Astyanax mexicanus: one gene and its partner. The protein of the gene in region 2 purifies or fractionates together with the protein of the main gene of each other region. This does not show direct contact. Links are inferred from orthologs where the notes say so. Each region holds a gene or a part of one and is shown on either strand. Other genes may lie near its edges.

Evidence for each region.
Region 1: the proteins of grk6 (region 2) and hsp90ab1 purify together in Homo sapiens (affinity purification with mass spectrometry; 3 studies listed by BioGRID and IntAct, with this or other methods). This does not show direct contact. The link is inferred for Astyanax mexicanus from reciprocal best matches to the Homo sapiens genes GRK6 and HSP90AB1.

Annotation. Positions count from the first base shown.
Region 1 is NC_064408.1:85,810,969-85,819,047, reverse strand, and holds the start of hsp90ab1 (heat shock protein HSP 90-beta), read right to left. Parts: upstream 3,203-8,079; 5' UTR 3,070-3,202; intron 1,598-3,069; coding exon 1,454-1,597; intron 942-1,453; coding exon 735-941; intron 585-734; coding exon 425-584; intron 223-424; coding exon 89-222; intron 1-88. UniProt on the Homo sapiens protein: Molecular chaperone that promotes the maturation, structural maintenance and proper regulation of specific target proteins involved for instance in cell cycle control and signal transduction. Undergoes a functional cycle linked to its ATPase activity.
Region 2 is NC_064424.1:17,667,432-17,675,959, forward strand, and holds the start of grk6 (G protein-coupled receptor kinase 6), read right to left. Parts: upstream 3,141-8,528; 5' UTR 2,670-3,140; coding exon 2,618-2,669; intron 1-2,617. Other genes in the region: nop16 (nucleolar protein 16), read left to right, coding at 6,569-6,669.

The DNA.
Region 1 (8,079 bases), on a different chromosome or scaffold from region 2:
GCATAGAATTTAACTAACCAAGAAAACAGATGGCTAACACTTTACACCTAATGTGTATGAAGTGCAACACGAACTGCAAAACACTTACATAGAGGGTGATTGGATACCCAATGAACTGAGAGTGCTTCTTGACAACCTCCTTCACGCGCTTGTCTTCGATGTATTCAGTCTGATCTTCCTTGAGGTGAAGGATGACCTTAGTTCCACGACCAATGGGCTCACCTGTAAACAAAACACGGGGGTAAGATACACATGCACATACTAAGGTTAAGCAAAATACAGTTATTTTTAAAGTCTCAATGTAATTTGCTTGCTGTTCTTTACAGTTTACTGTATTTTGCTTGGATGCCATTAACAAAAATTCACCCCCCCCCCCTTCATCCAAATAATCAAGGAGTAATTTAGGCAAGTTTCCAAAACTTACCATTATCAACTTTGACTGTGAAAGAGCCACCAGCAGAGGACTCCCAGGCATACTGCTCATCATCATTGTGCTTGGTAATCACTACCACCTTCTCAGCAACCAGGTAAGCAGAGTAGAAGCCCACACCAAACTGTCCAATCATGGAGATATCTGCACCAGCCTGAAACAAAGGGGGAAAAAATGAATATATATGCAGTCAAACTAAAGTTTTAATCTAGGTAAATGTGATTTGATTAAACCATTTGTAGGCAACATACTTAATATACAGCAAAAACTAATGGATTTCATTTAGAACACCTCATTTGTTTACCTGAAGAGCTTCCATGAAGGCTTTGGTCCCTGACTTGGCAATGGTACCCAAGTTATTGATGAGATCAGCCTTAGTCATACCAATTCCAGTGTCCACAAGGGTCAGCGTGCGCTCAAGCTTGTTGGGAATGATGTCAATCTTCAGGTCCTTCCCACTGTCTAGTTTAGATGGATCAGTCAGACTTTCATATCGGATTTTGTCAAGGGCCTATAAGGAAGAGGGAGAGGTGATTTTTTTTTTTTTTTTAAATGTAAAAAATCTAAAATGTTTAGCTTCCATCAACAAACACTCAACCTTAGCATTAATATCTGTTAGAAATATTTTCTGCAGCCAAAGTATTACAGTACTCGATGACTAACATTACACTTACTGAATATATTATGGTACAAGCTTATATAGTAAAACATTTTTCTTCGTAATATACACCAACTGATTATGAATAATTCTGTATAAAATTGCAATTCCCTAGCCTTGACAATAATAAAAATCTGGCCACTGGTGTTAACATATAGCATAACTATTTTATAAATATAGCTGCATTATGCATTATTTTTTTGTGCATTTTATAAAGCGCTAAAGTAAATTAAAAATAAATTTTAAATTCTGTATGTACAAACTTCACAGAATCCACCTATTGTTTTCAGTGTTCTATTAAATTCAACTTGCTTTAATAAATAAATCAAATAAATAAAAAATATTAAATCAACACTAGCACTTACATCAGAGGCGTTGGAAATAAGCTCCCTGAGGAAGATCTCTTTGTTGGAATAGAAGGTGTTAATGATGAGGGACATCAGCTGAGCGATCTCTGCCTGGAAGGCAAAGGTCTCAGCCTCCTCCTCTTGGCGCATTTCTTCAGGCATCTGGAGAAGAGAAATAACACTGAGTCACACCACCTTAAAGATATTCCTCACTTTCTGTTTCAGTTCAGTTTCCGCATAGCGAACAGCTCCAAGTGACTCGGGGTATTAACTTGGAAGATCTTTTTTCTAACTGTAGTCTGTGGGGAAAAAACCCTACCGAATTCTTTTAAGATTTAGAGGATTATAACAGTGTAAGTGACAGACTATCACTGAACAGAACTTTTGTTAGAATCATAGACTAATTTTAAAACTTACGTATTTAACGTCATAAATACCGTTATGGAGTATGGATTAGAAAACTATTTACTCCTAAATGGATTTTTTTTGTTTGGAACTGCTTCGATAAAAACTCTGAACTCGTCTAAAGCCTGAACTGAAGTTGCTCTTGACCGCCCCCATTCAATTACCCAACATGGCGTAACCGGACCAGCGTACAATGGAGGAGACACGTGCTTGACGAAGAAAGCCGAGAGCCGGAAAACTCCGAGTTTTATATTTATGTTCTGGCTTTTACTAGGAGAGATCACGTTAATTTAAACTAAAAATACGGCCATTAGACAGTTAACTTAGTGAGTTTACACGATTTAAAGTGTGATTAAAGTGTAAGTTACATTAGACACGAATGGAGAAACCGGTCCTTCAAGCCGGAGCACATGGCTTTTAGCTAACGTTCAGATCTTACACGCGGATTTAAAACAGAATTTATTGGTGTTTTGTGGCTGAAAATTGGCATTTTAGCGTTCCATGTAACTTCATTAGCTTATTGATTAGATTGGCTAAGCTGGGTTAGCTAAATCGTCAGTTAGCTAGTTAGCTAGCGCGTGTTTAGGCTGGTTGGCCTGAAATTAAGTTAACGCTAGTTAGCTTAGCGTTAACTAGCAGATAGAGAAGCTAACGCTGTACGGCTCATATAATTAGAGTTACGGTTAATGTTCAGGGGCCTATTATTTCACCTACATTAGTGAACGCCATTATATAACAGAAGTAATAGTTAACTAGGTTAGCTAGCTAGCTAACCAAGCTGTATTACTGAAGCCTCATCACGACTATAGAAACAGTAACCTTCCACCCGTCAGCTAAATCCACCGTTAACTAGCGCTAGCTTAACTCCCCCGGCCCGAGCGCTGCACCTGCTGAAAGAACGGGTAACCACAGCTCATCACGACGAATCCCAACTCACTAACTAATTTACTAAAATAAACACCCAAATAAACCTGTCAGAGGTCGTGTCTCACCAGAATCACGATAAACTAAGCGAGTTTAAGTGTTTTTGGCCGGTGAGCGGAGCTGAAACGCTGAGCTCCGCCGGTCTGTAGTTTCAGTTAACGCTGCTCCGAGTCTTTGTTAGCGGCTCTCCTCCACAGCCGTTCATCTGTCTAAATAAACACAATGAGGCCGCAACACTGCCGGGTTTATCGTTTTAAAGAAGAGAACACGAGACTCAACCGCGTCGTGTGAACGGGAGAACTCACCTTGATTAGTTTCGGTGATTTCTCTTGAAATAAATGCTGCCAAACCCTTCAGATCTCCTCCAACAGTGATGCTGCGCCGCAGCAGCGTATCTTTATGTAACCGTCGAACATGCGGCGTATCACTCCGCGGGCTGGGCTGGGTCTACGCTGGGTCTACACTGTGTTCTGTTTGCACTGGGCAAAGTTAACCTTTCTAATGATGATGTTAATAGACATTAGAATAGACATGTTTATTGTTATAGTATACATTCTGAATAAATAAACGTTCTGTTGAAAAATAAATGTGCTGTTATAATCGCACACATTAATTTTTTAATTCAGATTATCCACTTGCCTGTTATAGTAATGTAAACAACTGTATATTTGTAGTTTATATATTAATATCTTATTCACATTTAACTGCAAATTTATATGTGTGAAGTGTCAGTCAAATGTTTTGAATTGTTTGACTGTATTTCCTTAATAAAATTGAATGTTTTGGGATATTAGCCTGTGTACTAGCTTTGCATCATTTCAGTTTATTTCCCAATCATAATGACACATTTACAAAAGCTGCGTTTTAGCTGGAAGCTGGTTTCAGTTAGTCAATATGGTTGAATCAGGTAAAATCCTATGCTGGCCGTGCATGTCAACTAGCTTGGCTTTGCTATACAATAAAGTTTCCCAGCCTAGTCTTTGACAATATGTTCCTTTCAGTGTAGAATCTCTATTCAAAATGCTGTGTAGTCCAAGACTAGGTTTAATCCAGGTTCGGAAAACTGCTAAAAAAATGGTAAAAATCTAAATCTAAGCTGTTTTAAAATCGTGCCTTTTTAATGGGTCGGAGGTTATGCCCCTGCCTTGATGTCTTACTGCCTTATGTCAACAGCTAGTTCCTTAAGTTGCAATAGTGTTATTTATTAGCATTTTTCACCCAACAAACTACACCTGAAGATGGTAATGATGCCATACTTAATTTCAGACATTCAGGGTGCCTTCCTGTTTTCTCATTCCCTTGTTTCTGGTCAGGGTCATCTGGACCGCAGGCCAGTACCACACACTTTCGTTCATGATTTGGCATACCCAGTTCACCTATGATGTTTTGGAGGTGAGCAGCAACTCTGTCAGTTTTGCTGTTTACCTTTAAAAGGTTTGAACCCACAACGACAGGGTCCATGATACCCGCCATACAGACACTATGTTCTCAGCCACACTGTGCCACCTGAACACAAGTAAACATTAATACTTTTATACACCCATATAGGCAGTTCTCCAGTATTACAAAATAAAAGTTGTTCAAACATAAAATGTTTGTCATGCTTATGTAATATTAAACAATAATTTCTATAACATTAAAAATACCATATCTCTGTCTTTGAGTTTTGCCTTACACACAGACACATCAGCCTATTTGGTCTTTATATAAGGTTCAAGCTCCCAATTGCAGCCATCTACACATTGGACCTGTCAACAGGAGATTGTTGGTTGATCCCCTGTGATGCTACAGCCAGAGAAACACAATTTTCCAAATTGTGTTAGCCTGTACAGGTTCTTTTAGTTAATATAACATAAATAGTTAGTTAGTGTCCTCTTTCTCAGAAGCAGTTTTTCATGTATTCAATACTAATACAAAAAGTGTAATTTACTGTTGAGAAATTGACATTAAGAGGGCTAATCCTAATAGAGAGCATGCCAGACATTATATGAATAATATTCTATTATTAGCTATATTTTATTGCAGCAGACCAGTGCCACCCAAACATTCTCCACTTGGACTGGACTTAAATATAAATAAATAATAAATAAGCACAATTATATATCATACATAACACACATCTAAACATCTGTCTGATATGGTTCTGAAATCATGGTCAGTCCTTTCCAACCAACCAGGGTTGTTTCTTGCAACGTTCCTAAACAGGCCTGCTGGTTGCTTTCCTTTTAAATTCATATCTATTGTGGATACTGGGACACACAGTTACTATTTTTTTTTTGGCTCTAACAAAAAAAAAATAGATTTCCCCTCCCTTAACCTTCGCCACCCTGGGTATGGTTTGGTCCACTCCCTAAACCATAAGAGGGGATCTTAATGGTATAACAGCTCTCATTGGATGTGCAACATAATTGCCAACTTTTTTAATTTACTTATTTATTCCTGCATCTTTACTTCAGGTCAGAAGTTATCTTATAATGTGTCAGCTACTATTTTAGTACTACTATATTAGTGTCCATACGTAGGACTGTTTAAAAAAAATAATTTTCATATAACATAATAATAATAATAAAGCATTGATAACCCTGTGTTAAGATGCATGGAAATGTCTACTTTAATATTTATAAATAACATATAAAGAGCAGCTATTATCCACACATTATCGATTTATGATTACAATACTATAAATTATATAAGATCTGCAGTAAATTAAATATACCCCACTCTGTACAGCATGAGATTCACCTAGGCTAAATAATATGAGTGGTTAGACTGAACGAATAGTAATAATATATATTTTTGGAAGTAATATTCTTGTATTGTCTTATTTAATACTAAATAACTAAGGGGTGGCACGCAAGAAACGATTAAACGCACAAAAGAAGCGAAGGATCCGCTGCACTCGTTTTTGTCACGGAGGGATATCAGCGCTCCGAGGCGGCGGTGCTTCGGCTCTTTCTAGCACTTTCCATGAAAAACCCGCCTAAAAGTGACGTCACGCAGCCGTCAGGAACACGCGTCTCTCCGGCGCAACTTCCAGATTTACCGACTTAAAAGTTCCTCACCGAGGAGGAAAATAAACTCCTAATAAAATAACGCCTAGTTATAAAAGAGTTCCCTACCTGAACTTGGACCTCATCATCTCATAAATATTCAAGTGACACCAAAAAAACGAATTAATGCTTCAAAATCACACAATATTTTATTTTAATATTTTTATGTGTATTAATATATTGTCTCACAGAGGGGAACAACAATACGCATTTTCCTGTGAGATAATATAAGATGAGGTCAAAATTAAATAAATTATTTATATCTCTAATGCGTTAAAATACACATATCTGTTGTTTATTTATACGTTATTTGATTTAAAAAGGCAACTTTTATTTTGAAGAAAATTATTGCAAATTAAACTCTAGTATAATAGTATAATGTATAGTATAATGATTCTAATAGTCATTATAAAACTGCACCACAGCTGTAAACAATACAATAATACATTGAAAGAGCGGTCCAAATGCCTAGATTTGCATGTTGACTGTTGGTTTCTGTAAACAATGCAAGCTGAGAAATACTTGGTACATAGCAAGGGGTCAGATAAATGCAGTGGTGTGAAAAAAGTGTTTGCTTCCCTCATATTTTTAATTTTGTGCATGTTTGTCACTTTTAAATGTTTCAGATCATAAAACTAATTTAAATATTACCCAACAAAAAACAAGTAAACACAAAATGCAGTTTTTGAAAAACGTTAATGTTTTTAATAATAAGGGAGAAAAACTGAAGGCCAGACATCTCCTTCAGGATTTTTGTTAGATGGCAGAATTCTTGGTTCCATTTATCACAGCAAAACTTCCAGGACCTGAAGCAGCAAAAAAGCCCCAAACTACCACCACCATGTTTCACTGTAGGTATGATTTTTTTCTTATGCTGTGTTACTTTTACGCCAAATTCTCTTGCAAATTTAAGATGAGCATTAATGTTCTTTTTGCTCAGCAGTCATTTTTGTCTTGGCACTTTGCCATGCAGGTCATTTTTTCCTTTTTTATGGTGAAGTTATGAACGCTGACCTTAACTGAGGCAAATGAGGCCAGCAGTTTGAGGTATGAAATCTCTAAACTTTTGAGTATCTATTGGTCTTCTTGGCTTTGTCAGGCAGGTCTTATTTAAGTGATTTCTTGATTGAAAACAGGTGTGACAGTAATTAGACCTGGGTGAAGCTTTAGAAATTGAACACAGATGTAATAAACCACAGTTAAGTTATGTTTTATTGATAAAAACTTTCATTCAAACAACACGTTATGTTTACTTGTTTAATTAATCTTGTTTACCTTATAATTTTACATACATTTTAAACTCTATTTATAAAATACAGTACAGTGGTAAATATAAGGATTATTATTGAAATGTATAACATATTTTTTCTGACTAATTTCAGTGACTGATTTGTTCAGGGTTAAATGCTGTGGGTTTTTTAATCTGCAGACAACTTGAGCACTTTGATCAACTATTTATTAATGCTATTAATTATTTCATACTCTAAAATGATTGCATTGTGTGGGTGTGGTCTTGAACTAGCATGTTCATAAAGTGAACTTGTTTTTTACATGCAGGGGTTTTTCACTATAGCCTCACAGGCATAAAGGTAAAGTGCTTGATTGAGAACAGGTGTGACAGTAATTAGACCTGCGTGAAGCTCCAGAAATTGAACGCATAGCATATGATGCACACTAGCACATATGCAGTACTCTCTTAGGTACACCATGAGAAACATTTATTGCTTCGTAATAGCCAAAAGCAGCTGCCTTAAAATACATCCTTTCTACCTCACCTAATTTACTCTTGCAACACAAATGGGCAAATATGACTGCTGTTCATTAATCTGGAACACAAATGCTGTAGATTGTAGATTGACTCTGGTCATGCATGGAAGCTAAAAGAACAAATTATAAATACATCACACACTTTTGCTCTTTGAGCAGTGCCCTTGTGAAAATTAATAAATTGTGCTTGTTTATGTGTGAGACACACACAGTAGTCATACACATACTACCCATATGCCTCTGGAACTGTTTAAAGGTGACATGAGGTGACATCAACGATAAGCACCCTGTCCAAAACAGCCCTGTTGAGGATTGTCAGTTGGAGTGCTCACCCAGCCCCCATACATTATTCCTCTCCCCAGCTACCTACTGTAAATAATTACACTTCTAGCTCACATTTAGTTCATTTCTTTCTCTCTCTCTCTGTCACTGCCTCTCTCCAAGATGGAGATTGTGTCTGAATTGTAAGAAATGCCACCTACTGAAACAGGATTCTGA
Region 2 (8,528 bases):
GACCAACAACGTTTTGATTAATTAACAATTAATCAACAATGAAATTTGGAGCCGACACATTTTCATGTCAATTTAAGGACATTTATGTCCACTATTTGTCGCACCACCAGTAGATAAAAAGGCTTTAGATTACAATGATGCAGAAACAGTCTATTCTTGCTGAAGGCTTTTAAGCATCTTTGTACCTAGGAAATATCACTTAACAGCCATTTCAACTGAAATTCACAGAAATTGCTGGTGGTGACCTGCACTTCTTCAACTGGCTTGACTTCTTAAGACTGAGCTTGAGAGCTGAGTTGTCAAAAGCAGCTGAACAGCCCAAACCTCGGCTAGTGTGAAATATACTCTCGCAACGAATGCGGGTTAAGAAAGAGGATGTGATGAAAGCAGATAATGGGAGAACACAGAGAGAGAGACATATTTTGTAAAAAAAAAAAAAAAAAAAAAAAGACAGGAAATGTGTGCTTGTGTCTCCATGACTAACCAGCCAGCATTACCCAAGTTAGCCAACTAGTACTTAAACTAGCTAGCTAACTAACGACTATAAAGCAGCATCAGTCCATTAGCTAGTTAGGTTAACAGGGTTAACTAAAAGATTAATTAACTTTTAATGAAAGCAGACAAAGGAAACTAATTTAGCTAACCGGTCACATCACTGGTAGCTGGGCTAGTTTAAACCTCAAAAAAGAAGAAACTAGCTTAAGTCGAACCAGTCTCATCATGAGACTTTTGGGCTATTTTACATCCTCTTAAGCTACTTTACCCAAGCCTACACCACCAGCCAAACCCCAACTAACGTTAAATAGCTAACTGTTAAAACTAGCTGGGTTAACATTTCTATTAACAACCCTGTTAGAGGGAACAAAAAATGGGCACGTGCTAGTTAGCGTAAGCAGGTGAAAACACACGTATTCGCCCAGGTTACAGGAAAATGTAGCTAACTAACCCTAACTATTTAGCTAGCTAGCCTAACATCCAGAGAAGTTACCCAAGCTAGCTAACCTAGATAGCATAGCTAGTTAACTAGCTAGGTTAGCTAGCAGTCTCCACCAAAGCCGCTGCCTGGCCCTTTCCCCACTCTGTGTCTAGCTAACTAGTTAAATAGCTAGCTATCCAGCTTCTGAACAGGTGGTTAGATAGCAAGTTAACTAGCACAGCTAGCTTTAGGTTACATGACAACCGTAATATCTGCTCAAAAGCAACTGTTGGCTGGCCCTTTCCCTACTCTGTATCTACCTAACTAACTTTAGTTAACTAGCTTGCTATCCACCTGCTGAATAGCTGCTGGATAGCTAGTTAGCTTAGATAGCTTTATGTTACATGACAAACGAATTATCTCCTCCAAAGCAGCTGTTGTCTGGCCCTTTTCCCACTCTGTGACTAGCTGACTAGTTAACTAGCTTGATATGCACCTGCTGAATAGCTGGTTAGCTTAGCTAGCTTTAGGTTAAGTTACATGACAACTGAATTATCTCCTCCAAAGCAGCTGTTACCTGGTTCTTTTCCAATTCTGTATCTAGTTTGCTACCTAATTAACTAGCTTGCCATTCACCTGCTGAATAGCTGGTTAGCTAGTTAGCTAACTAGCTAGCTTGCTATCCACCTGCTGAATAGCTGGTTATCTAGCTTAGTTAGCTTAGCTAGCTTTAGGTTCCATGACAACCGTATTATCTACTCCAAAGCAGCTGTTACCTGGCCCTTTCCCAACTCTGTGTCTAGATAACTAGTTAACTAGCTTGCTATCCACCTGCTAAATAGCTGCTATTTAGCTAACTTTAGGTTTTATAATAAACTGTATTATCTCCTCCAAAGCAGCTGCTGCCTGGCCCTTGTCCCACTCTGAAGCTACGTTAGCTAGCTCGTTAACGCTAGGTTAGCTAGCTAGCTCTGACACAATCACCACCATCACCTTATGTCTGTTATCTCAGCACCAACCAACATCTGCTCGCTCCCTTCCTGCGCTGCTGTGCTGTTCTGGCCACGACCCACTAAATCACGATCCTGCACACGCACACACACACACACACACACACATTTTCTGCCCATTCTGGCAAAAGCTGAGGCTGTTTGGGTGGCTTTTAGTTAGCTAAGCTAACTAGCTAACCTACCAATCTAACCTATCTAGCTAGCTAGCTGGCTAAATGACAGCTGAATGGTGGGTGACTGCCGCGGTGACTGCTGCTCCTCTGACAGGTCCATCTTTACAGCTAGGCGAGCTTGGTCATGTTCAAGGTTAGCTAACCTAACTAGGCAGGAGCAGAAGCAGCAGTTCCGCCAGCCAAGCTACCAAAAAACAGCACAGGCTATCTCTGTCTCTGTGGCCTTTCTTTTCTTTTTTTGCGTCTATCATAAAAAAGGAGAACAGGTGGATGTATGAATTTATGGTCTCCTGGAGCCCTTAGCTATCTATCTATCTAACCTATCTTTCTGTCTGTAGGCTTGCTTGCTTGCTCCCTTGCTTCCTCGGGGAATCCCCCCTCTCCTCCTCCTCCTCCTCCTCTTCCTTCTCCTCCTCCTCCTCCTCCTCCGCCGCCTCCTCCTCCCGCGATCCGAGCGAAGATGAGCCCTTTCCTGGAGGAGCAGGGAAGCCGCTGTGAGTGTGAAGCGCTCCGCTTACCTTCCCTCGCCTTCAGGAGAACGGTGTTGGCCACGATATTCTCGAGCTCCATGTTTTCCTGGGCTGCAGGCCCAACCTCGTCGCCCGCCTGGGTTGGCAGTGAGTGAGTGTGTCCTCCCCCACTCCCCCCCTCGGCGGAGCAGGCGAACCTTGGATGACTCTCTCTCTCTTTCTCTCGTTCTCTCTCTCTCTCTTTCTCTTTCTATCTCTCTCTCCCTCTCCCCTCTCTCTCTCTCTCTCTCTCTCTCTCTCTCTCTCTCTCTCTCTCTCTTTCGCTCTCCGACTCTCCGCCCCAAAAGCGCTTCGTCGGTTCCTCTACCGGCTTGTTTACCAGTGAACCCCACCTACACGTGAACACGACAGCGGCAGCAGCAGCAGTTCTTTCTCTTTTTTCCTTTTCTTTCTTTATTTTTACTCTACCTCTCTCTCTATCTCTCTCTCTCTCTCTCTCTCCCAGTCTACCTCTCTCTCTCTCCTGTCACTCGCTCTCCTGTCAACAGCTCAGTTGCGCCGGACTCGCTATTTCCTCATTTTCCTGCGCAGAGTGCTGCTGCTGTACTGTAGACACACGCACACACACACATAACCTAATAGCTAGTAACTAGAGTACATACAAACAGATATATAGGATATACACAGTACACTTGAAAATGTAACGTACATGTAAAGTGAACAAATTGTACATAGTTTTCATTAACAAAGAAAAATCTGAAAAAGGTGGCATGCATGTATATTCAGCCTCCTGTACCTTGAACAACATTTTAAAATGGAAGGAGTATGGCACAAATGCAGACATTGACATGTCTATCCATCTAAGGATATGGCTATACGTTTACATTACAAGGCAAATTCAGCAAAAAGATGAACGAATACCGATTTGACCGTTCATGTGGCATGTACGTGGATCAGACACGTAACCGATTTAGGACCACATATGAATGTTACTCGAATTTAATTGTAAAAAAAAAAAACAGATTTGGCAGGTTCACACAGCCATGAAAAAATCAGATCTGAGCCACATTGAGCAAAAAATCAGATTTGAGCATGGTAATGTGAATGTAGCCTAATCTGACAGCCCAGGTAAGGAGAGCTCTAATTTGATAAGCAGCCAAGATACCCATGGTCACTCTTGCGATGCTGCAGAGATCAAGGTTTTCTGATGGGAGAAGTCATGTACTCCACAAATCTGATTTTTATGGGAAAGAAAGCCACAAATAGTATCGTTTACAATTTGCCTCAAGTCATGTAGGCGGTACAGCAAATATGTGGAAGAACGTGATCAGATCAGATGTTGAACTTTTGGCCTAAATGCAAAGCGCTATGGGCGGCGGAAAACCAACACCGCACCCTGAACACCCTGAACACACACCATCCCCACCATGAAACATGGTGGTGGCAGCATCATGCTGTGGGGATGCTGTTTTGTTTAGCTGTGACAGAAGCTGCTGGGTCTGAATACAAATGTACACCATACTTTACATATTTGTATTTATTAAAAATTGTAAACCTTATGTATCATTTTCTTTTCACTTCACAACCACTTTGTGTTGGTCTGTCACATAAAATCCCAGTAAAATACATTTAAGTTTGTGGGTGTAACTGTGGAATGGTTTAAGAGGTATGCATATTTTTAAAGGCACTGTATATATGCAAAGATGGACCTAGGCATTTTATGGTCCATGGGCCATGTTCTATGGTCCTTTGCCTTTCTATAACTGGCCCTCAGAAACTCAGAAACTGGAACTGGATTTTACTACATTTTTCAAGCCCAAAACAGACTAGATTGTTCTCACTGAACAAGAATAACGTACAGAAAAACAGCAAAACATGTAATTAGACTACAAACCAAATAGTTCTTTTTTTAAGTTTTAATTTAATTTAATTCAGTTTTTTTGCTGCAAACATATGTTAATAGGCCTGTCACAATAATTACATTATTGAATAATCATACAATAAATGGGCATGACCTCAATAATATTTGATATAATCAATAATCATTATTACTCAATATTGTTTGTTGTGTTTATTTGCATGTTTGTTCATACGTATACAGGTCTGGGAAAAAAAGAGACAACTTAAAAATAATTTATTCCTTTAGGTTTACCAGAAAGGAAGATGAATGACCACAGCCATCAAACCAAGCTTAACTGCTTGAATTTCTGCACCAGGAGTGGCATAAAATTATTCAAAAGCAGTGTTTAAGACTGGTGGAGGAGAACATGCCAAGATGCATGGAAACTAAAATAAAAAAACAGGGTTACTGCACCAAATATTGATTTCTGAACTCTTTAAACATGTTCATACTAGACATCTCAGACTCCCACTTTAAGTGAATGGTACTAAACAATAAGTAAATATAGTGGCCTGCTATGAAATACGCTCTTTCAGGCTGATAGGGAAGTCTAATCAGTATTTTAAAAAGTGGCAAAAATTCCATGTCCAAATGATCAATCACCTCTGTAAAGGTACTAGCAGTTTTTGTGCATCTTTGTTTTTATAATTACTGTATTTATTATGCTATTGTTATAATTATTCAAACTGTAACTGTCTTATCTGCTACTCTGTATTTTGAGGAGGTTTTTATTAACATTTTATATTAAATATAAAATGTTAAATAAATGCTGATCATCAAAAATTATATTGAGAAACTTAAACCTGTGTGCAGAATTTATTTTTAGTTGTTTTTTTCCAACACAAGGATAAACTATAAATTCCCTACAGACATATTTCCGCCTTATTTTGACGAACAGCGCCATCTACAGGAACAGTGGAAGAAGCGCTTCAGTCATCTCACCCGCGGAAAAAAGGCTCTTCTTTTTTCAAACTTGATTATATGCATGAACGAAAACTGAGAGAAACAGGAAGGGTGTGTATGACAAGCCGTCTTAGCATGAAATTACACCAAGAATACCAAAGAAGTCACCTCTGGGTCAATATTAATATAACGTGTTCTTTTTGTTTTGCAGCATAGTTATTTACATTTCATGCAAACACTAACATGTAACAATATATTATACATTATTAAATATTTGCTATGAATAAATACATTTTTACAAATATAGACAAATCCTGACTTTCACTTTAAAGTACTTTTTTGCACATTTGATACAGTTTTTTTCCTGCGCTTGCAATGCCGTCTGGTTAAGTTGAGTAAATATTTAAAATAGTTAACTAATACAAAAAAATCTAACATTTTATGATATCTGGAATAATTTTTCATTTGTCAGAATTAATTTCTACAGGTAAAAAATAAGTTATATAAATTATGTATTTATCTGTGTCTGGAAAAAAATGTAAGTAGTAAAAAAATTATTATAGATTATTTTTTATTACAAATAGATTCCATCTAAATAAATGCTAACATGTATGACTTGTCAAAATCACATTGAGAAAATGTTATTCTGGTAATATAATAATTAATAATCTGAAGGTCTGAGTTTAGTATTAGTAAAATATTCATAGTAATTTGTAGTGTTTTATAACTTACTTTAGTAACTTATTTTGTATAATTGTATTTTGTATTATCATAATGAATGTTACTTTACATAATAAACCCGATAATGTCATATTTTGAAGTATAGCTTCTTGTTTGACAATATTCTGTGTAAAAGTTGTGTATGTGTGAAACAACAATGTTCATTTTACTCAAACATAAACCTATAAATAGGAAAATCAGATATATATCATATATATCATATTTTTTTCCAGAGCTGTATGTATAAATGCTCAAGCTTAATAAAATATTTTTTTGTTTATAATAGCGTGTATTCTTGGTTCTGTTCTGTAGAGGGCGACTCTCAGTCGGACTGGCCGCTCTCAGCTCTGGGGAAGAAGCCGAGGCTCGTTTCCGCTTCTCCTGCACCCAAACACAACACGTGTGTGCGAGAGAGTGAGAGAGTGTGTTACTGTTTATTTAGGGTTTAATTAATCTGCTGTTTAAAACTCGCAGCGATGGTTAAACGGGCCAGCAAACGCAACACGTTCGATTACAACAAAAACCGAAAGAATCAGAAGAAGAAGCTCAAGAAAAAGGAGAGACCGACCATCGGATGGTGAGTTCAGCCCGCTAATCCCAGCTAACTAACCCCAGCGCCTAGACCAAATATAACTAACTAACGTATATAACTAACTAATCCCAGCGTCTAGACCAGCTAACCTACTAACCTCAGCGCCTAGACCAGCTAACTAACTAACTAACCCCAGCGCCTAGACCAGCTAACTAACTAACTAACCCCAGCGCCTAGACCAGCTAACTAACTAACTAACCCCAGCGCCTAGACCAGCTAACTAACTAACTAACCCCAGCACCTAGGCCAAATATAAATAACTAACCCCAGCGCCTAGACCAGCTAACTAACTAACTAACTAACCCCAGCGCCTAGACCAGCTAACTAACTAACTAACCCCAGCGCCTAGACCAGCTAACTAACTAACTAACCCCAGCACCTAGGCCAAATATAAATAACTAACCCCAGCGCCTAGACCAGCTAACTAACTAACTAACTAACCCCAGCGCCTATGCCAAATATAAATAACTAACCCCAGCGCCTAGACCAGATAACTAACTAACCCCAGCGCCTAGACCAGCTTACTAACTAACCCCAGCGCCTAGACCAACTATATAACTAACTAACTAACTAACTAACTAACTAACTAACTAACCAGCCCCTGCGCCCAGACCAGCTAACTAACCCCAGCGCCTAGACCAACTATATAACTAACTAACTAACCGCAGCACCTAGACCAAATATAACTAACTAACCCCAGCACCTAGACCAACTATATAACTAACTAACTAACCAGCCCCTGCGCCCAGACCGGCTAACTAACTAACCCCAGCGCCTAGACCAGCTAACTAACCCCAGCGCCTAGACCAACTATATAACTAACTAACTAACCAGCCCCTGCGCCCAGACCAGCTAACTAACTAACCCCAGCGCCTAGACCAGCTAACTAACCCCAGCTAACTAACTAACCCCAGCGCCTTGACCACCTAACTAACTAACCCCTGCACCTAGACCAGCTAACTAACTAACCCCAGCGCCTAGACCAGCTAACTAACTAACCCCAGCGCCTAGACTAACTAACTAACCCCTGCACCTAGACCACCTAACTAACTAACCCCTGCACCTAGACCACCTAACTAACTAACCCCAGCGCCTAGACCAGCTAACTAACTAACCCCAGCGCCTAGACTAACTAACTAACCCCAGCGCCTAGACCACCGAACTAACTAACTAACCCCCGCACCTAGACCAGCTAACTAACCCCAGCACCTAGACCAGCTAACTAACTAACCCCAGCACCTAGACCAGCTATATAACTAACTAACTAACCAGCCCCAGCGCCTAGACCAGCTAACTAACTAACCCCAGCGCCTAGACCAGCTAACTAACTAACCCCCGCGCCTAGACCAGCTAACTAACTAACCCCCGCGCCTAGACCAGCTAACTAACTAACCCCCGCGCCTAGACCAGCTAACTAACTAACCCCCGCGCCTAGACCAGCTAACTAACTAACCCCCGCGCCTAGACCAGCTAACTAACTAACCCCCGCACCTAGACCAGCTAACTAACTAACCCCAGTGCCTAGACCACCTAACTAACTAACCCCCACACCTAAACCAGCTAACTAACTAACCCCAGCGCCTAGACCACCTAACTAACTAACCCCCACACCTAGATCAGCTAACTAACCCCCAGCACCTAGACCAGCTAACTGACTAACCCCAGCACCTAGACCAGCTAACTGACTAACCCCAGCACCTAGACCAGCTTACTAACTAACCCCAGCGCCTAGACCACCTAACTAACTAACCCCCACACCTAGATCAGCTAACTAACCCCCAGCACCTAGACCAGCTAACTGACTAACCCCAGCACCTAGACCAGCTAACTGACTAACCCCAGCA